Linked DNA regions of Macaca mulatta. The protein of the gene in region 2 purifies or fractionates together with the protein of the main gene of each other region. This does not show direct contact. Links are inferred from orthologs where the notes say so. Each region holds a gene or a part of one and is shown on either strand. Other genes may lie near its edges. The genes, in order: GDI1 and RAB13.

What was found.
Region 1: the proteins of RAB13 (region 2) and GDI1 purify together in Homo sapiens (affinity purification with mass spectrometry; 4 studies listed by BioGRID and IntAct, counting the BioPlex papers as one, with this or other methods). This does not show direct contact. The link is inferred for Macaca mulatta from reciprocal best matches to the Homo sapiens genes RAB13 and GDI1.

Annotation. Positions count from the first base shown.
Region 1 is NC_133426.1:160,616,158-160,625,726, forward strand, and holds the start of GDI1 (rab GDP dissociation inhibitor alpha), read left to right. Parts: upstream 1-4,262; 5' UTR 4,263-4,545; coding exon 4,546-4,590; intron 4,591-5,858; coding exon 5,859-5,966; intron 5,967-6,098; coding exon 6,099-6,198; intron 6,199-6,339; coding exon 6,340-6,474; intron 6,475-7,282; coding exon 7,283-7,481; intron 7,482-7,748; coding exon 7,749-7,880; intron 7,881-8,761; coding exon 8,762-8,861; intron 8,862-9,285; coding exon 9,286-9,457; intron 9,458-9,569. Other genes in the region: ATP6AP1 (V-type proton ATPase subunit S1), read left to right, coding at 301-341, 1,001-1,137, 1,564-1,823, 2,489-2,536, 2,623-2,854, 3,019-3,228. UniProt on the Homo sapiens protein: Regulates the GDP/GTP exchange reaction of most Rab proteins by inhibiting the dissociation of GDP from them, and the subsequent binding of GTP to them. Promotes the dissociation of GDP-bound Rab proteins from the membrane and inhibits their activation.
Region 2 is NC_133406.1:113,047,694-113,057,262, reverse strand, and holds RAB13 (ras-related protein Rab-13), read right to left. Parts: upstream 4,839-9,569; 5' UTR 4,739-4,838; coding exon 4,615-4,738; exon of another isoform or gene 4,519-4,614; intron 3,897-4,518; exon of another isoform or gene 3,488-3,896; intron 3,286-3,487; coding exon 3,225-3,285; intron 2,116-3,224; coding exon 2,055-2,115; intron 1,824-2,054; coding exon 1,746-1,823; intron 1,334-1,745; coding exon 1,244-1,333; intron 1,124-1,243; coding exon 1,058-1,123; intron 968-1,057; coding exon 914-967; coding exon of another isoform or gene 910-913; intron 739-909; coding exon 661-738; 3' UTR 216-660; downstream 1-215.

The DNA.
Region 1 (9,569 bases), on a different chromosome or scaffold from region 2:
AGGGCCTCTTCTGTGATTCAGGAGTTGGTGCCTAGCTCCAGAGATGAGGCAGATGTGAGCCCTGTGGGTGGGGAGCTTTCTCACCTAGCCAGGCCCTTGTCACAGAGCAGGTGGCTAGGACTTGAGTGTGACTGAGAAGCCTCGGGGTGAGATGGGCTTCCAGGAGTGGGCACTGAGGTAAGAGTGTGCAGGCTTGGTGTGTGGGGCTAGTGGGGAGGAGAAGCTGGGGCAGGGGAAGGGTAGTAGGCAGCACAGGTCCAGGCCGCCTGAGGACTCTGGTGCTCTGTTTGTCTTCCATAGCTCTGGTCTGATGGCACCCAGGGAAGTCCTCACAGGCAATGGTGAGTAGAATCAGGGAGGATGCACATCCTCACCTAGCCCTTGGGCGGGGACCACAGACAGTTGGCCTGCAGCTCCTCAGCCTCCTCACTCCCAGGGTGGCCCTCCTGCTTCTCGGGGCAGCTGACAGTGGAGCAGGGAAATGCTGGCTCCCAGGACCAGCCAGGGACCACCTAGCAGAGGACCCTGTCCAGCCAGACCCCACTTGGCAGAGGGGGGGCCCTCTGTGCTGGAGGCTATGGAGCCAGTTTCTGTGCATGCAGCGTGAATCCTAGAGTTATGGGTTTAATAAGACTGCAGACATTTGGAAAAACAATTCTGGGGACTTACCTATTTGCAATAAAGAACAGTCATTCCCCATGGAAAGGCAGTCACAAACCTTTCATGGGTGGATGTGGAGTTTTCTGTATTGATATGTATTTTCTCGTGTCACATAGGTAGGGCTTGGCATTAGGAAGTTGATGACCAAAGCCACAGTTGTCCACGGGGGAGGCTAGGAATGGGGGTGGGATGAGAAATAGCTGCTCCTAAGGATCCTCAGTGGAAAGTAATAACACCACTTTCAGATGGTCTAGAAGGTTTCTAAAGCAGACGGTGGGGAGTGTTTCTTTACACAGGGTGCCTGGTGACTTGACTCTCTGCTCTCCTTGTTGACCCTCAGATGAGGTCATTGGGCAGGTCCTGAGCACACTCAAGTCTGAAGATGTCCCGTACACAGCGGCCCTCACAGCGGTCCGCCCTTCCAGGGTATGTGCCCTTCCAGCAGGGGCTCTGGGGCATGCAGGGAGAGGCAGTGTGGTGAGTCTGTCTGGAGGTGGGGGGTGTATGCCACAGGCAGGCTGTCCGGGAGGCCCAGCATAGCGGAAGCATCAGGCACAGAACCCCTGTGGTGTGACTATTTGGAGTGGCTTGTCCCTGGGCTGACTCTGGGGGAGGACTAGGATGAGCACTCAAGTGCTGCCTCCCCATTCCAGGGGCAGCTTTCCATCTCGTCCTCTGAGGCTTGTGGGTGGCAGACTTGGACACTAAGTCTAAATGACCCTAAGTTTGAGGGACTAGGAACGTCATCAGGGTTTAGGGGCCATCAGGGAAAGCTTTCTGGAGGAAAGGCCTCCTCTGGCTGGTGGGACTTTGAGATAGTGGACAGGGTGTCCTGTCGGGAGAGGAGGGAGGGCACGACAGCTGGGTTGGAGTATGACAGTCTCCCAGGGCTGCTGAAAGAAGGCTGGTTGGGTGTTTCTGCAGGTGGCCCGTGATGTAGCGGTGGTGGCTGAAGGGCTAGGTCGCCAGCTGTTACAAAAACAGCCAATATCACCTGTGATCCATCCTCCTGTGAGTTACAATGACACTGCTCCCCGGATCCTGTTCTGGGCCCAAAACTTCTCTGTGGCGTACAAGGACCAGTGGGAGGACCTGACTCCCCTCACCTTTGGGGTGCAGGAGCTCAACCTGACTGGCTCCTTCTGGAATGACTCCTTTGCCAGGCAAGGGCACTAGGCTGGGGAGGACTGTGCCACCACAGGTGACCTTCCCACCACTGTGAGTCGCAGGTGGGGCAGGGAGCCAGGGTCAGGTCTGTGTGTTGGGGTGGGGATGGCCATGGTCTGGTTGGGGTCTGGGCAGTGTGAGGATGTAGGAGGTGTCATGGCGGGGGGTGCTGTTGGAGGGGAGTTGCTCAGACTTCTGCCTCCCCATGCTTGTGAGTCTTTGGTTGGGACCTTGGTTGTTAACACCTCCCCCTTGAGCAAAACTTCTGGGACTTTGTGTGGGCAAATGCCAGGCCAGCTACCTGAGGCATTTATGGGGCAACCATGCCCTTCTGTTTGCTCTCACCCCCAAAGCCCAGCCCAGGCACCTTAGTGACCCTAAGAGGGAGTAAAAGGAGAGGTAGTGAGCTCAGGGGAACCAGAGGAAGGACCCCCATGCTGGTGGCAAGGGGAACCTGGGTCCTGGCTTCCAGCTCTGTTCTGGGCTTGCAATGTGACTGGATCCTCAGTTTTCCTATCTGTCAAGTGGGGTCACTGCTTCTTCAGGTGGCTGCAAGGACCCAAGGCAGCTTAGGTAAGAGCAGAGCTGAGGAACTTGTTCCTCTAAGATGCCAAAGGCCCTCCCAGAGCCTCATGGTGCACCTCTTTCTCTGCCTCCACAGGCTCTCACTGACCTATGAACGACTCTTTGGTACCACAGTGACATTCAAGTGAGTCCTGGGGTGGTTGAGGTGTGGGGAGGCTGGTGTGGCCCCAGCCTCCCCAGCTCACCTGACATCCCTGCCACCTTCCCCAGGTTCATTCTGGCCAACCGCCTCTACCCAGTGTCCGCCCGGCACTGGTTTACCATGGAGCGCCTCGAAGTCCACAGCAATGGCTCCGTTGCCTACTTCAATGCTTCCCAGGTCACAGGGCCCAGCATCTACTCCTTCCACTGCGAGTATGTCAGCAGCCTGAGCAAGAAGGGCAGTCTCCTCGTGGCCCGCACGCAGCCCTCCCCCTGGCAGATGATGCTTCAGGACTTCCAGGTATGGCGCAGGGGTGGCCCAGCTTCAGGTGGGGGAGCCCAGGCTGGTGTTTGAGAAACGAAGAGAGGCTTGGGCTTGGGAGTCCTGTCCCTGCGCTGCCCTTGTCCCAGTCCTTGCTGGGCCTCCCAACGGTCCTTTCTGACCCGTGTCTGTGTGTCTGCCAGATCCAGGCTTTCAACGTGATGGGGGAGCAGTTCTCCTATGCCAGTGACTGTGCCAGCTTCTTCTCCCCCGGCATCTGGATGGGGCTGCTGACCTCCCTGTTCATGCTCTTCATCTTCACCTACGGCCTGCACATGATCCTCAGTCTCAAGACCATGGATCGCTTTGATGATCACAAGGGCCCCACCATTTCTTTGACCCAGATTGTCTGACCCTGTGCCAGTGGGGGGTTGAGGGTGGGAGAGTGTCCGTGTTGTTGCTTTCCCACCCTGCAGCACACTGGACTGGAGCTTCCCTCTTCCTACCGCAGCATGAACCCCAAGCTCCCCTCAGCCCATCTTGCTCCCTCTTCAGCCTGCTGAGGAGCTTTCCTGGGCTGCCCCCATCTCTCCCAACAAGGTGTACATATTCTGCGTAGATGCTAGACCAACCAGCTTCCCAGGCTTAGTCGCTGTGAGGCGTAAGGGACATGAATTCTAGGGTCCCCTTTCTCCTTATTTATTCTTGTGTCTACATCATCCCTGGCTGTGGATAGTGTTTTTGTGTAGCAAATGCTCCCTCCTTAAGGTTATAGGGCTCCCTGAGTTTGGGGTGTGGAAGTTCTACTTAACTGTCCTGCTTGGCTGTCGTTATCGTTTTCTGGTGATGTTGTGCTAACAATAAGCAGTACACTGGGGTTTATTTCTGTGGCCTGAGAAGGAAGGTGGGCTGGGTGCGATCGTCGGCTGTCTGGCATGTTCCCACCGGAAGTGCCTGGCAGGAGCAGGGGGTGCTCGGTTGTTTCCTTCCTAATAAAGTAAACGAGGATCGCCATGCGTTGGGCCTCTTGTCGCTCATTTCTGCGCTGAGCTTTTGGCGCGTGCTCGCCAGAGGTATGCGGGAGGATGGAGCCTGGAGAGGGGGAGGCTAGGAGGCATCCCCGGAGACCGGGAGGGGCTTTAGTAAGCTGGGCCCTAACCGCTTAGGTCAGGGAGGGGTGGTCGGGCCGAGTCCCGGTGCGCTTCGGCGTCTCAGGAGGCCGTAGTGACAATGGCAGCCTTCGCGTCGTGAGGGAGCCGCCCCCGGCTGCCGCAGCGGCGCGCGTCCGGTCGCGGGGCCGCGCCGAGACTCCCGGGGGGCGGGGCGGGCGCGCGCGGGGCGGGGCGGGGCGGGTGGGGCGGGGCGCGCGCGGCTCCCGCGCATGGATCCTTTCCGGGCCGCAGCACCGGCCGCCGGCCCGCCCCGCCCGCCCCGCCCGCCCCGCCCCGAGCCTCTCTGGACTCTCGGCGAGCAACGTCGCCCGCGGAGCCGCGCTGGTGCTGTGGCCCGGGCCCTGGCAGCCCTCCCGGGAGGCGAGCCGGGAAGGCGGTGTCCCCTGCCGGGTGCGGCGGGGCGCGGGAAGAGGCGGGACTCTTTGACGCGGCGGAGGGGTCGGGCGGCGGCCGACGCTCCGCCATCTTTGGTCCAGTGCGGTGGCGGCGGCGGCGGTGGCTACTGCTGTGGTGAAGGAGGAGGAGGAGCCGAGCGGGCGCTGCCACTGAGGCCTGACCATGGACGAGGAATACGATGTAATCGTGCTGGGGACCGGCCTCACCGTAAGTGCGGCCCCGGGCGCCCTTGGCCCTGCGTCGTGCCCTCGCCATTCCCCGCGATGATGCGGCCGCCGGCCCATCCTCCGGTCACTGCCATCTTCTGCGCTCGGCTCCCCGAAAAGCCGGCGCCGTGCCCACCCCGCTGCTCCCCCCGCGATGTCGCCTCTGTTCGTTGCCATGACCCCATCTCCCCGAAGGGGCCCCCTTCCTGGCCGCCCCCTGGCCTACCCGGGTCCGACCCCCGGCGCTCTCCCATCTTCCCTACCCCTGCCCTCTGGACCGGAAAACGCACCCCCACTCGGCCCGTTGCCCCCGACCCCGCCCACCCATCGCCCCCACCCCGCCCACCCATCGCCCCCACCCCGCCCACCCATCGCCCCCACCCATCACGGCATCCACCCGTCGCCCGCACCCATCGCCCGCCTAGCGTTGCCTCCCAGCGTCCCTTCCCATCTTGCGCTAATCCCTGTGAGGATGAAGTACAAGGACCTGGGGTCAGGGGGCCTCGCCAGGGTGGGCTCTCAGCCCACCCCCTCGTCGTCTTCTGGGGCCAGGGGATCCAGGGAATGTTCCAGAAGGAGCAGCAGTGGGGGCAGTAAGCACATTCCCGCAACCCCACCTCGGTTGCCCATGGAGACCTCAGGCTGAGTAGCATCTGCAGCCTTTGTCCTTGGGCTAGTGACAGTGACTGGTGAGGGTGTTTATCTTCCCCCTTTCCCCGAAAATCCCGTTGGCCCACTCCCCTCAGAGACTCTTCTCCCTCGGTCCAGACCCAGATGCCCCTCCTCAGCGGCAGGGGCTCCTGCTCTTTGAAGAAAGAGCAGTCCAGGGTGGGGCCTACAATTTCAAGGACTGTGCTAAGCCTTTCTTTGCTTCCCTTTGGAGTGTCCTTCGCAGTCCAGCTGGGTCCCCTCTGTGCCACATTGTGTTTTATCCGCCTTTTTGTGCGGCTCTGCGTAGGTAGATGCCTCTCGGCGTGTTGGTACTGGAAGGCCATCCTGTGTCTGCTGGATGCCCTGCCTACCTCAAAGCCTCCGTTATTTCACTGTCTGCCTTGTGAGGGGGACGGGTCTCCTTTACCCCGCAAGGTTGCAATGGAGAGTGTGGTCGGATGAAACCATCACCCCAATTTTAGGCGAGGCAACTAGCCGGTGGGGGTGGTGGATGGAAGGAGCTGTCCACTGAGGCAGGTTTGGGTGGGGAACAAATCAGGGCTGCTGGTAGGAGCAGAGGAAGGTGGGAGTGCAGCGGATTGTGTGGCCCTCCCCCAGGAATGCATCTTGTCGGGCATCATGTCTGTGAACGGGAAGAAGGTGCTGCACATGGACCGGAACCCCTACTACGGGGGCGAGAGCTCCTCCATCACACCCCTGGAGGAGGTGAGGCTGCCTGGGCCCAGGCCCATCCCTGTTAACCTCCCACACAGCGGCACAGGGTGGAAGTAGCTCTCCAGGTGCCTGGAGCAGGAGGAGGTGGTCCCTGAGGTGTCTCTCTCTCCCTTCTGCTTACAGCTGTATAAGCGTTTTCAGTTGCTGGAGGGGCCCCCTGAGTCCATGGGCCGAGGCCGAGACTGGAACGTTGACCTGATTCCCAAATTCCTCATGGCTAACGGTGAGGGACAGGAAGGAGGTATTGCAGGTCGGGGGTGATAGGGAAGACCTAAGGACAGTCAGGCTCCAAAGGAGGCGCAGCCAGACCAGCTAGAACCTCTGGAGAGAGCCGTGCTGATGTTGCCCTTGTGCACCCCCACAGGGCAGCTGGTAAAGATGCTACTGTATACAGAAGTGACTCGCTACCTGGACTTCAAGGTGGTGGAGGGCAGCTTTGTCTACAAGGGGGGCAAGATCTACAAAGTGCCGTCCACTGAGACTGAGGCCTTGGCTTCCAGTGAGTGTGGGCCCCCTGAGCCAGAGAAATCATGGGGTGGCAGGGAAGCCAACTGTCTTTGGGATGGGTGGCTGTCCAGAGTAAGGTACCCCTTTGTCCAAAGTCACATTCCCCCATGAAGGGGACCAGAGGCCCTTCACTCTGTATTCCCTCTGCCCCATGTCATGCCGCATGGCTGGCTGCCAAGAGGGAGGTCCCCACGCAGCAGGGATGTGACGTGGAGGGGAACGGGACTCCTTTTGAAAGACTTGAGCGTGGCCAGGCGCGGTGGCTCATGCCTGTAATCCCAGCACTTTGAGAGGCCTAGGCGGGTGGATCACGAGGTTAGGAGTTCAAGACCAGCCTGGCCAACATGGTGAAACCCCGTCTCGTCTCAAAATACAAAAAATTAGCTGAGTGTGGTGGCACACACCTGTAATCCCAGCTACTCGGGAGGCTGAGGCAAGAGAATGGTTTGAACCCGGGAGGTGGAGGTTGTGGTGAGCCGAGATCATACCACTGCACTCCAGCCTGGGCGATAGAGTAAGACTCCATCTCAAAAAACAACAACAACAAAGAAAACTTGAGCCTTTGGCAGGGGCTCCACTGGATCCTCAAGACATCCCCAAGTGTCCAAGCCAGGAAAGCCCTTAGAGTCCATCCAGGCCAATCCCCTCTTCATCCTGGTGGGGAAACTGAGGCTAAAAAGGGTGGAGAGGTTAACCTAAGGTCACAGGACAGCTGGGCTGGGAGTGGGGGTGCCTGCCCTGCTGAGATGGAGAGTTTTGTGCTGCGTTGGTGCAGAACCTCCTCCCGCCACCTTCCTTAGATCTGATGGGTATGTTTGAGAAACGGCGCTTCCGCAAGTTCCTGGTGTTTGTGGCAAACTTCGATGAGAATGACCCCAAGACCTTTGAGGGTGTTGACCCCCAGACTACCAGCATGCGTGATGTCTACCGGAAGTTTGATCTGGGCCAGGATGTCATCGATTTCACTGGCCACGCCCTGGCACTCTACCGCACTGATGAGTGAGGGGAAGCTGGTGTGGCGGCAGCCCCCTCGCCCGGCCCACCTCCTGCCCTCCCCACACCTGCCTGTTGTCCCCCTGCCCTGCATGTTCCTTGTACTCAGCCATAGGCTCACCTATCACCCTTTCCATTTCCCCCTTGCATTTGATCCTCATCTTCCCCAGGCCATTCAGGGTGGTGGGAAGACTGGCCTGGTACCTGGTACCTGGGTGGGGGTAAGTCAGGGGTGCTGCTACTGGAGCGTCTTCCCTAACCCCTGTCCCCCAGCTACCTGGACCAGCCCTGTCTTGAGACCATCAACCGCATCAAGTTGTACAGTGAGTCCCTGGCCCGGTATGGCAAGAGCCCATATTTATACCCGCTCTACGGCCTGGGCGAGCTGCCCCAGGGTTTTGCAAGGTGAGGACGTGGGTTTTTTCAGTTGGCATGGCTGAGTAGGACTAGGGCCAGGAGTGGAGATGGCCCCCTTGAGCATTTCCCTGGTAGCATTTCCTCCTTTCCAATTCGTGATTTTCATTTACTTCACTCCATCCTTGGGTGATGAGGGCACAACCCCAGTGCACTGAAGTACAGAAGTCTCCACACTTGCCGGGCGCGGTGGCTCACGCCTGTAATCCCAGCACTTTGGGAGGCCGAGGCGGGCGGATCACAAGGTCAGGAGATCGAGACCACGGTGAAACCCCGTCTCTACTAAAAATACAAAAAATTAGCCGGGCGCGGTTGTGGGTGCCTGTAGTCCCAGCTACTCGGGAGGCTGAGGCAGGAGAATGGCGTGAACCCGGGAGGCGGAGCTTGCAGTGAGCCGAGATCGCGCCACTGCACTCCAGCCTGGGCGACAGAGCGAGACTCCGTCTCAAAAAAAAAAAAAAAAAAAGAAGTCTCCACACTTGAAGAACCAAGTTTCCACAAATGTGACTTGCTCAGTTCCCGGCAGCACCAGGACTGGGCCCAGGGCCCCAGAACCTTGAGTCAGGGCTTCGCTGGGAGGTGACCTATCTTGAGAGAGTCCATCCTGGTCCTTCAGGCTGTCTTGGTGCAGAGCACTGCTCCCTCATGCCCCCTTCTGCTGGTCCTTGGCAGTGTATTCTGGGCAGAAGAAGCTCCTGAGAGGAAAGAGCCCGCTGAGATGGGGCCAGAGTTCACGGCAGTGACACAGCTGGGATGAATCCCGGCGTCTCCTGCCTGCTGCCTTTTTTGCACCTTGGTGGAGGAAGGGTGACAGTGGAATTGGTCCCCGTTTCTCCTGGGAGGGGCCTTCACCAGGGCTGTTCTCACCACAGATTGAGTGCCATCTATGGGGGGACGTATATGCTGAACAAACCTGTGGATGACATCATCATGGAGAATGGCAAGGTGGTGGGCGTGAAATCTGAGGGAGAGGTGAGCCTTTCTGGTGCAGTGCAGTCACCATGGTTGAGGCAGGGCTTGGTCATCTTCTTTTCACTGTGCTGCCGGGTCTCCTGCTGCACAGCCCCGAGGGTCTTGGAGCTGGGAACTGGGCGTTCAGAAGTCTTCAGAGCCATGAATGTGGGTGAGGGGCTATTTCAGAGGCCACACGCCATGTCTGTAGTGCAGAAAGTGTACTTGATCACGGGGCATCTGGGAGGCGGGGGCGGGCACCCAGCCTATGGGTCAGGGCCCACCTCTGTGAGCTGCAGGGCAGGGCCATGCATTCAGGAGGGGCAGTAGTGATGGCTCCGAGGAGTGCCTTGTCTGCCAGAGCTGCCTGCCTTTGCTGTGAACACAGCCCCAAGACTACCTAAGGGAGTGATCTGACGGGCGAGGATTTCTGGTGCCTTCTCAGGTGGCCCGCTGCAAGCAGCTGATCTGTGACCCCAGCTACATCCCGGACCGTGTGCGGAAGGCTGGCCAGGTTATCCGCATTATCTGTATCCTTAGCCACCCCATCAAGAACACCAACGATGCCAACTCCTGCCAAATAATCATCCCCCAGAACCAGGTCAACAGGAAGTCAGGTAGGCCGGGTGCTGGTACAACTTCCTCTAGGGTGTTCTCTTTGGGGTTACCCTTTCTCTCCCCATCAGTGTCGGAGCTCCCTGCCTTACCTCTCTGGAAAAAATTTGACCC
Region 2 (9,569 bases):
GGAAAGAGGATATCCAGACCTTCAGATCACTCTAGCTCCTGCTCTTTGCTATTTTCCTTACCAACTGAACAGCGGGGAAGAGACAGCGGTAGGATTAGTCCAGGTTCCACAGAAACCCAGCCTGATTCAGGCAGATCAATCACTTTGAAGACACAGTAATTGGATTTGAGTGGAGAACAATTCTGACAATAATCCAAGTTACCCAAAACAGGAACATTTGTGCAAATGGTGGCCTTTATTAAAGACCATGAAAAGTGACAGAACAGGAGCAAATCTGCTAGTGTAGTGCCGAGCTAGCCCTTTGCAGGACCCTAAAACCTGATCTAGTAACAGAATAAATCAGTGTATTTACATTTATGTTTGCCCTGAAAACCCAGGTAAGGTCTGAAGCCTGAGGCCATCTCCCCTTCCTTTCCTCCTCCCTCTTCTTACCTCCTTACCTTCTTTCACTTCCTCAATCGGTTCCTCTCCCTTCTCCCTCCTCTCTCTTCCTTCTTTTCCTTTCTGCTTTTCCCTTTTCTCTTCTCCTTTTATTCCTCATTCTCTTTACCATCTACCTATGTGTCCCTCCAAGCCCCTCTGCTATTTCTCCCCTGCTCAGTCCCTTTGCCCCGTCTCCCTCAGGTTCAGCTTCCAGGGTGGGGAGGCGAGAAAGGGTCCTCAGCCCAGGGAGCACTTGTTGGTGTTCTTCTTGTCGCAAGTTTTCAGGTCAGTACTGGGAGGCTTGTTGCCGTTTCCCTAGAGGGAGAAGGGCACAGGGGTCATGGTGTGAATGGCTGGTTAGGGTGTGAGGGTATAAACTGTTGGAAGTGAATCCACCCTCATGAGAAATCTTAGCATTGCTCCCCTCAATTCTTATCAACACCAACACACACACACCAGAGTTGTACCTAGTCCAGCAAAACCAACTTACTGATCTCCGGCCTCCTGACTTGAGCAAGATGTCCCGGGCCAGGGAGCTAAAAGCCTAAAGTGGGGAATAGAATCAGTTTGGAGGGAGGAGAATCTACCTTTTAATACTTCCTCTCTTGGTCAGGGATGGGGGTGTGGATCTCACCTCATCCACATTCATACTGGATTTAGCACTAGTTTCGAAAAATCGGATCCCGTGCTCTCGAGCCAACTATAAGGGGTGAAGTGAGAAGGAGAGAATTGAATTAAGGACAGCAGCCAAGTCCTCTGCAATGCAACCTATCTTGGCCCTCCCAGCCCAGTTCTAGAAATTGCTCAGCCTGGCCCTCACCTTATCGGCCTGCTCCTTCTGCACCTTCCTCTTGGCCTCCATGTCACATTTGTTCCCTAGCAAGAGGCGTTCCACCCCAGCCGAGGCATTCTGGGGGGGCAAAAGACAAGTAAAAGTTAGGTCCCGCCAGCTGGGTGTGGTGGCTCACACCTGTAATCCCAGCACTTTGGGAGGCCAAGGCGGGTGGATCACCTGATGCAGGAGTTCAAGACCAACCTGATCAACATGGTAAAACCCCATCTCTACTAAAAATACAAAAGTAGCTGAGCATGGTGGTGCATGCCTGTAATCCTAGCTACTTAGGAGGCTGAGGCAGGAGAATCATTTGAACCCGGTAGTCAGGTTGCAGTGAGCCAAGATGGTGCCATTGCACTCCAGCCCAGGCAACAAGAGCGAAACTTCGTCTCAAAAAAAAAAAAAAGTTAGGTCATGCCTATCCTTATGGCTCCCTTCATTCTCCAGGTTCTATCCAGTTCCCCCATCTCTTCTGGAGGGTCCTCACCTCCTTGATGCTTTTCATCCAGTTCTGAATATTCTCGAAAGATTTCTCATCCGTGATGTCGTATACTAGGATAATGCCCTGGGAGATGACAAAATTCAACTTGGACCATATTCCCTTTGAGGCTTCCCACTGCCCTGTAAGTGACCCGGCAAGTTCCATCCATGGGTCTAAACACTAGGCCACGTTGGGCCCTCTGCAACCCACACTACACCCCTCCCATTTTTACCTGCCTCAACCCCTGACCCTTTGTATTCATAATATATTCTGTGGCCTCATCCTTCATCCTTTGTCCAGACCCACACTTCATACCATGGCTCCACGGTAGTAGGCAGTAGTTATTGTCTTGAATCGCTCTTGGCCAGCCGTGTCCCTAAAGAAGGAGAAGGTTTCATGGAATGGAAGAGAGGAAAGAATTCTCTAATGGAAGAATTCTTCCTCTCTCGCAAGAATTTAGCTTTTGCAACATGGTGGGGCAACAGAATAAGGAAACAGTAAAGGGGAGTGGGATTAAAGACGGTTGACCTGATTTCCAGAGATGGTAGTGGCCCAAGAAACAAGCTGTCTTTGCTTATTCATTGAATGCTTGCTATGTGTCCAGCACTGCGTATGTATCATTTTATCTAATCCTTAATCTCTCCTTGTAAGACATGTATTATTGTCCCTATTTTACAAATAAGGAAACATGCCGGGGGCCGTGGCTCGCGCCTGTAATCTTCCGCCTTGGGAAGCCGAGGCGGGTCGATCATCTGAGGTCAGGAGTTCGAGACCAGCCTGGCCAACATGGCGAAACCTCGTCTCTACTAAAAATACAAAAATTAGCCGGGCATGGTGGCGGGCACCTGTAATCCCAGCTACTTGGGAGGCTGAGGTGGGAGAATCACTTGAACCCAGGAGGCGGAGGTTGCGGTGAGCTGAGATTGTGCCATTGCACTCCAGCCTGGGCGATAAGAGCAAGACTCTGTCTCAAAAAAAAAAGAGGAAACAGATTTGGATAGGCTGAATAATTCATGAAGGTCAGGCAGCAGATAAGTAAAAGAACCGGATTTGTGCACCACTCTGCTCTTATATGTCATAGCATTATGCCTCCACTAAGCTTCATACCACTTAAACCCCTTCAGGGTCTACATTTGGCTCTCTGGGCTCACCATATTTTGGAGAAAACACTAGACTTAGAGTCAAGTCTTAATTCTGCCTGTGCCATTTAACGGTTCACAGCCTGTTTCCAAGTTATGACTGAACAGTTGTTTGTTGTCAAATTAAGAGGATGCTCTGTAGCCAGAGGAGGCAAGAGTTACAAAAAAGCTGGAACTAGTTGGGAGAGCAGGAAGAGAGACGAAGGACAGCTGAGTGCATCCAGAGAAATAGATTAGAAGTGCTAGAAAGAGCAATGAGGAAAGGAAGAGAAATGAAACAAAGTAGAAGAAAAAGCGTGTAGGAGGTAAATGAAGTCTGGTGAGGCTTCCCAGAGGATTCACTTACCAGACTTGTAGTTTGATCTTCTTCCCCTCTATATCCACAGTGCGAATCTTGAAATCAATTCCTAGGGGTGGAAAGTATGCACTGAAGTTGAGACATGCATGCACACATGTAAAACTGTGTGATGGGAGGGACAGGAAGGGAGCAGTGTCAGCACCAGAAATTCTGCAGGAGAGGCACTTGGGGAGCAATCTTGTTGGAAATGCCAAGCTAGGAGAATTTTCCCAAAGCTGTATTTGTATAGCAAGAATACTATTTTTACTTACGTTTTATGGATTTTGGGAGGGAAAAGGTGATGAAAATTCTGCATGGAGGCTTAAGATCCTTAGGCCACCTCTTGGGTCCATTCAGCTATACCAGCTGACAACTCTCTGAATTCAGTCTCTGTCTCCCCACCAGATATTACTTTCACATTCCTCTTCTCTGTTTTCTTAGAGCCCTCTACTCTTGGTATTCCACCCACCCTCCTAGTAGAGAGTAAGGAAAAAAGTAGCTGAAGCCAGTCTATGTGAATTAACTAGTAGGCCAAACTTGGCACTAGGAAAGTCTGAGGCTAAACAGGATTACTTTTGAGACAATTAGGAAAGGGGGGCATTTTTCCTCTTCCTTTGTAACCAGAATTGTCATAAGACTCTTCCTGTCTATTTCCCAAGCCAGAGGAAATGAAGAAAGAAGGGAGGAGGGGAGACAATGTTCTTCTTAGTAGAAACTTGGGCACCTCCCCCAAGCCTGCTGGGGGCCCCTGGGAGGAGGATGAGTCACCAGGCTGACTCAGAGACCCCAAAAGTCCCCTCATTTCCACGTTCCTCACCAAGCTGGCTGCATATTCATGATCACAGTCCTTGGGCCGCCCTCCAGCACACCCAGCCACCTTGTTCCACCCTTCCCAAACCCCTGTTCAGCTGAGGTGCAGGGAGACTGGGGCAGGGAACCTGGGAAGTAGATGGTGAGCTGGGGACGCAGTGGGAGAGTTTGAAGGTCGGCTAGAGGGAAAGAGGCTAACAGATCGGATTGGGAGAAAAAGATGTGGCAGACAGGGATACAGGAAACGTGGAGAATGGATCGAGAGAGTTCTAAGTGGTGGGGGTAGGGGAAGAGGGGCACAGAGACAAAGAGAGAAGAGTTCTTGTGGGTTTTGGGAAACTAAGGTGATGGCACCAAGAAAATGAGGAGCTGGCAGCAGTTGAAGAGTTACCTGAAAGCCTCAGAGAGGTGAGAGGTTTGGTTACCATACAGAGACATGCATGGGGGAGGGGTCAGAGCCAGGGGTTGAGGGACTAGAATTCAGGAGCCTTACTCTAAGGGGACTGAAAATTGGGGTCACTAGTAATCCGGGAGCCTGAGAAGGAGGTTACAAGACAGTAGGGGTCTGGGACATGGCCAGCGGGCTCACCAATGGTGGAGATGTAAGTGTTGTTGAAGTTGTCCTCTGCAAAGCGAATGATCAGACAAGTCTTGCCCACCCCCGAGTCCCCGATCAGCAGCAACTTGAAGAGGTGGTCGTAGGCTTTGGCCATGGCGGACACCGGGGGAGCCGGGGGAGGGGTGGGGAGCTCCCGGCACTGGTAGGCGGGACTGGACGGTTGGCAAACAGAGCAGCACGGAGCCCAGGCCAGGAAGAAGTTTTCCTCCCTCTCCGCCCAGGCTCCGGGAAAAGGAGGGGCGGCACCCCTCCGGGCTCCACCCCCTGCCCGCCCACCCTTTTGGACAGGCCAAGGCGGCCAGCCCGGCCTCTGCTCTCTCGGTTTTCCCTTCCCAGCTTAGGCCGGCCTACCTGTCTCGCTATTTTCCACAGCCTTTTGGTAACTGTAGCTCCCCTCTTACGACCTTACTCTTCTATTCTGAGGCGAGAGTCTGGGGTGAAGGGAAGTAGAGGTTTAACCACGACGACCAGGGGAAGAGAAATTTTAGAGGGATTAGGGGAAGAGAGAAAGAGTTTTGGGAATAACGGTGAAGGTAGGGAGGGCACTAGAAATTGAAAAAAAAAAAATGGGGCTGATTTTTGGAGGTGCTATTCAACGAAGCTAGAAGATGAGTTATCATCGGTTTCTGGGGCTGCGTAAAAGTCAGTCCTAGAATTTTAGCGTTAGTTGTCCAAGCCCTTAGTTCTATGGATCCCAATTCCCTTTGAAAAAAGCGGGATGCGCAGAAGTAGGTTATTTGTTGAGTCAGTCTGCCCTCTGGTGGAACAGGGTGAAAACGTAAATTAGTTTTACAGAATCGGCCCCACCGCCCCAAGACTCACAGCCTACCTAGACACGTCCTGGTGCTTCAGTTGGAACGACCTCTCTAATGGGGGCCGCATGTGTGATTTCTCTGACCAAATAGCTTAAGAAAACAGTGATTTGAACTAAAAATGTCATTCTTCACGTGGATCTTTTAATATGGCCCACTTAAGGTGCAGTACTCCTGAAATCTCACTCAATAGGCCATGAACGTGTAGCCTTGGTAACCAGGAAGCTGAAATATGGACAGCATGGCTACAAAGAAACAAGTATATCTCTGCCTTTAGAAAAAAATTATTCTTGCTATATGTGTGCTGGGGGTGGAAAAAAATACGAAAAACGAAAGAAAGAAATTGTTTAAGACCCGGTGTGGTGGCTCACACTTGTAATCCCAGCACTTTGGGAGGCCAACGTGAGAGGATCCCTTGGGTCCAGGAGTTCAAGACTAGCCTGGGCAACATACTGAGACTCTGCTTCGACAATAAATAAATAAATAAATAAATAAATAAATAAGCCATACATGGTGGTGTGCGCCTGTAGTCCCAGCCCCAGCTACCTAGGGGGCAGAAGTGGGCAGATCACTTGAGCCCAGGAGTCCAAGGCTGTAGTGAGCCATGATTATGCTACTGCACTCCAGACTCGGTGACAGAGTAAGATCCTGTCTCAAAAAAATTTTTAAATTTGTTTATTTTTAATTAATTAATTTTTTGAGACACAGCCTTGCTCTGTCGCCAGGCTGGAGTGCAGTGGGACGATCTCGGCTCACTGCAACCTCTGCCTCCCTGGTTCAAGCGATTCTCGTGCCTCAGCCTCTGGAATAGCTGGGATTACAGGTGCCTGCCACGAAGTCCAGCTAATTTTTGTATTTTTAGTAGAGACGGGGTTTCACCATGTTGGCCAGATGGTCTCGATCTCTTGACCTTGTGATCCGCCCGCCTCGGCCTCCCAAAGTGCTGGGATTACAGGCATAAGCCACCGCGCCCAGCCCTATTTTTTTTTTGAGACGGAGTCTCGCTCTGTTGCCCAGGCTGGAGTGCAGTGGCGCAATCTTGGTTCACTGCAAGCTCCACCTCCCGGGTTCACGGCATTCGCCTGCCTCAGTCTCCTGAGTAGCTAGGACTACAGGCGCCTGCCACCGCCTGGCTAAATTTTTGTATTTTAGGTAGAGACAGGGTTTCACCATGTTAACCAGGATGGTCTCGATCTCCTGACCTCGTGATCCGTCTGCCTTGGCCTTCCAAAGTACTGGAATTACAGGCGTGAGCCACCGCGCCCGGCCTATTTTTTTTTTTTTTTTTAATTTATTTTGAGGTGGAGTTTTGCTCTCGTTGCCCAGGCTGGAGTGCAATGGTGTGATCTTGGCTAACCGCAACTTTCGGCTCCCAGATTCAAGCGATTCTCCTGCCTAAGCCTCGCGAGTAGCTGAAATTACAGGCATCCGCCACCACCCCCAGCTAATTTTGTATTTTTAGTAGAGACGGGGTTTCTCCATGTTGGTCAGGCTGGTCTTGAACTCTCGACCTCAGGTGATCCATCCACCTCTGCCTCCCAAAGGCCTGGGATTACAGGCTTGAGCCACTGTGCCCAGCCTTTATTTTTATTTTTATTTTATTTTTTGAGACAAAGTTTTGCTCTTGTCACCCAGGCTGAAGTGCAATGGCTCAATCTCTGGTCACTGCAACCTCCGCCTCTTGGGTTCAAGCGATTCTCCAGCCTCAGCTTCCCAAGTAGCTGGGATTACAGCCACCCGCCACCACACCTAGCTAAAATTTTTTTTTGTATTTTTAGTAGAGACGGGGTTTCACCATGTTGGCCAGGCTGGTCTCGAACTCCCGACCTCACATGATCCGCCCGCCTCAGCCTCCCAAAGTGCTGGGATTACAGGCATGAGCCACCGCAACCGGCAAATAAAAAATTATTCAAGGGAGTCTCTCTCGAGCCTATTCTGGCTGCCTATAAAAAAATTAAAGGCTGGGTGTGGTGGCTCACACCTGTAATTCCAGCACTTTGGGAGGCTGAGGTGGGCGGATCACGTGAGGTCGGGAGTTCAATATCAGCTTGGCCAACATGGTGAAACCCCCGTCTCTACTAAAAATACAAAATTAGCCGGGCGTGGTGCCGCCTGCCTGTAATCCCAGCTACTCGGGAGGCTGAGGCGGGAGAATTGCTTGAACGCGGGAGGCGGAGGTTGCGGCGAGCAGAGATGGCACCATTGCACTACAGCCTGGGCAACAAGAGCAAAACTGCGTCTAGAAAAAAAAAAAATGAGGGCCGGGCGCGGTGGCTCAAGCCTGTGATCCCAGCACTTTGGGAGACCGAGACGGGTGGATCACGAGGTCAGGAGATCGAGACCATCCTGGCAAACACAGTGAAACCCTGTCTCTATTAAATACAAAAAACTAGCCGGGCGAGGTGGCCGGCGCCTGTAGTCCCAGCTACTTGGGAGGCTGAGGCCGGAGAATGGCGTGAACCCGGGAGGCGGAGCTTGCAGTGAGCTGAGATCCGGCCACCGCACTCCAGCCTGGGTGACAGAGCGAGACTCCGTCTCAAAAAAAGAAAATGTGTACTGGTTGTTAAGAAGGCATCTTTTGTCATTTCACTTATCCCCATCACCTTCCGTGTCCATGCTTGTCCCTTCTCAAGCTAAACTATTCAATCTCCTTTTGTCTATTCTCTCACCTCTCATTATCTCCTTGAGTCTTCCCTATTTCTTTTCACTGACCAAACCATGTCTCACCTGTTTGTTTGTTTGTTTATTTATTTATTTATTTAATTTTAGATCGAGTCTTGCTCTGTCACCCAGGCTGGAGTACAATGGCAGGATCTTGGCTCACTGCAACTTCTCTCAGGTTCAGGTGATTCTCCTGCCTCAGCCTCCAGAGTAGCTGGGATCACACGTACCCAACACCACACCTGGCTAATTTTTTTGTATTTTTAGTAGAGATGGGGTTTCATAATGCTGGTCAGGCTGGTCTCGAACTCTGACCTCAAAGGATCCACCCACCTCGGCCTCCCAAAGTGCTGGGATTAGAGGCGTGAGCCACTGTGTCTGGTCTATTTTTATGTTTTTTAGAGACAGGGTCATTCTGTCACCCACACTGGAATACAGTGGCACTATCCTAGGTCACTGCAGCCTTGAGCTCCTGGGCCCAAACCATTCTTCTGCCTCATCCTCCCAAATAGCTGGGACTACGGACACAAGCTACCACGCCTGGCTAATGTTTCAATATTTTGTAAAGACAAAGTCTCACTATATTGCCCATGCTGGTCTTGAACTCTGAGCTTCAAGCAATACTCCCACCTCAGCCTCCCAAAGTGCTGGGATTACAGATGTGGGCCACCATACTCAGCTTTACCAGTCCTTTAAATTACTCTTCAATTTTTGTGAATTGTCCTGATAAAAATCCATCAGTTCTTTTTATCTTATTTTGCCTGGATCTGGACTTTTCGTCCTTAGCAATGTATTATTCGTGCTCACCTCTCTGAACTGTACTTATTCTGGTGTATACCTGCTTTCACTGGAACCTGACTTTTTTTTTTTTTTTTTTTTGAGACCGAGTTTGCTCTTGCTGCCCAGGCTGGAGTGCAATGACTCCGTCTCGGTCCACTGCAATCTCCTCCTCCTTGATTCAAGCGATTCTCCTGCCTCAGCTTCCCAAGTATCTGGGATTACAGGAATGCACCACCATCTCTGGCTAAATTTTGCATTTTTTTTAGTAGAGACGGGGTTTCACCATGTTGGCCAGGCTGGTGTCGAACTGCTGACCTCAGATGATCCACCCGCCTTGGCCTCCCAAAGTGCTGGGATTACACGCATGAGCCACCGCGCCCGGCCTAAATTGTTAAATTAAACCAATAGAAAAAGAGTTAAGAATATAGGTATTTAAAAAATAGTACGGAAGTCCTGGATATGGCTCCTTCTCCCTGGTGTTTTCCTTAACCTTTTCTATTAGGCTCCAAATGTCAAAGTATGACACAAAATTTTAAAAGTGTCCATTTATCCCTGGATAGTGATCAAACGCTGACCTCAAATTAGCAAGGTAACCCTTTCAACATGGTGACGCATATGTGTCACAACTAACAGTTAAAGACCTTCCGAAAATGGCAGCTCCCTTGTCTCTCC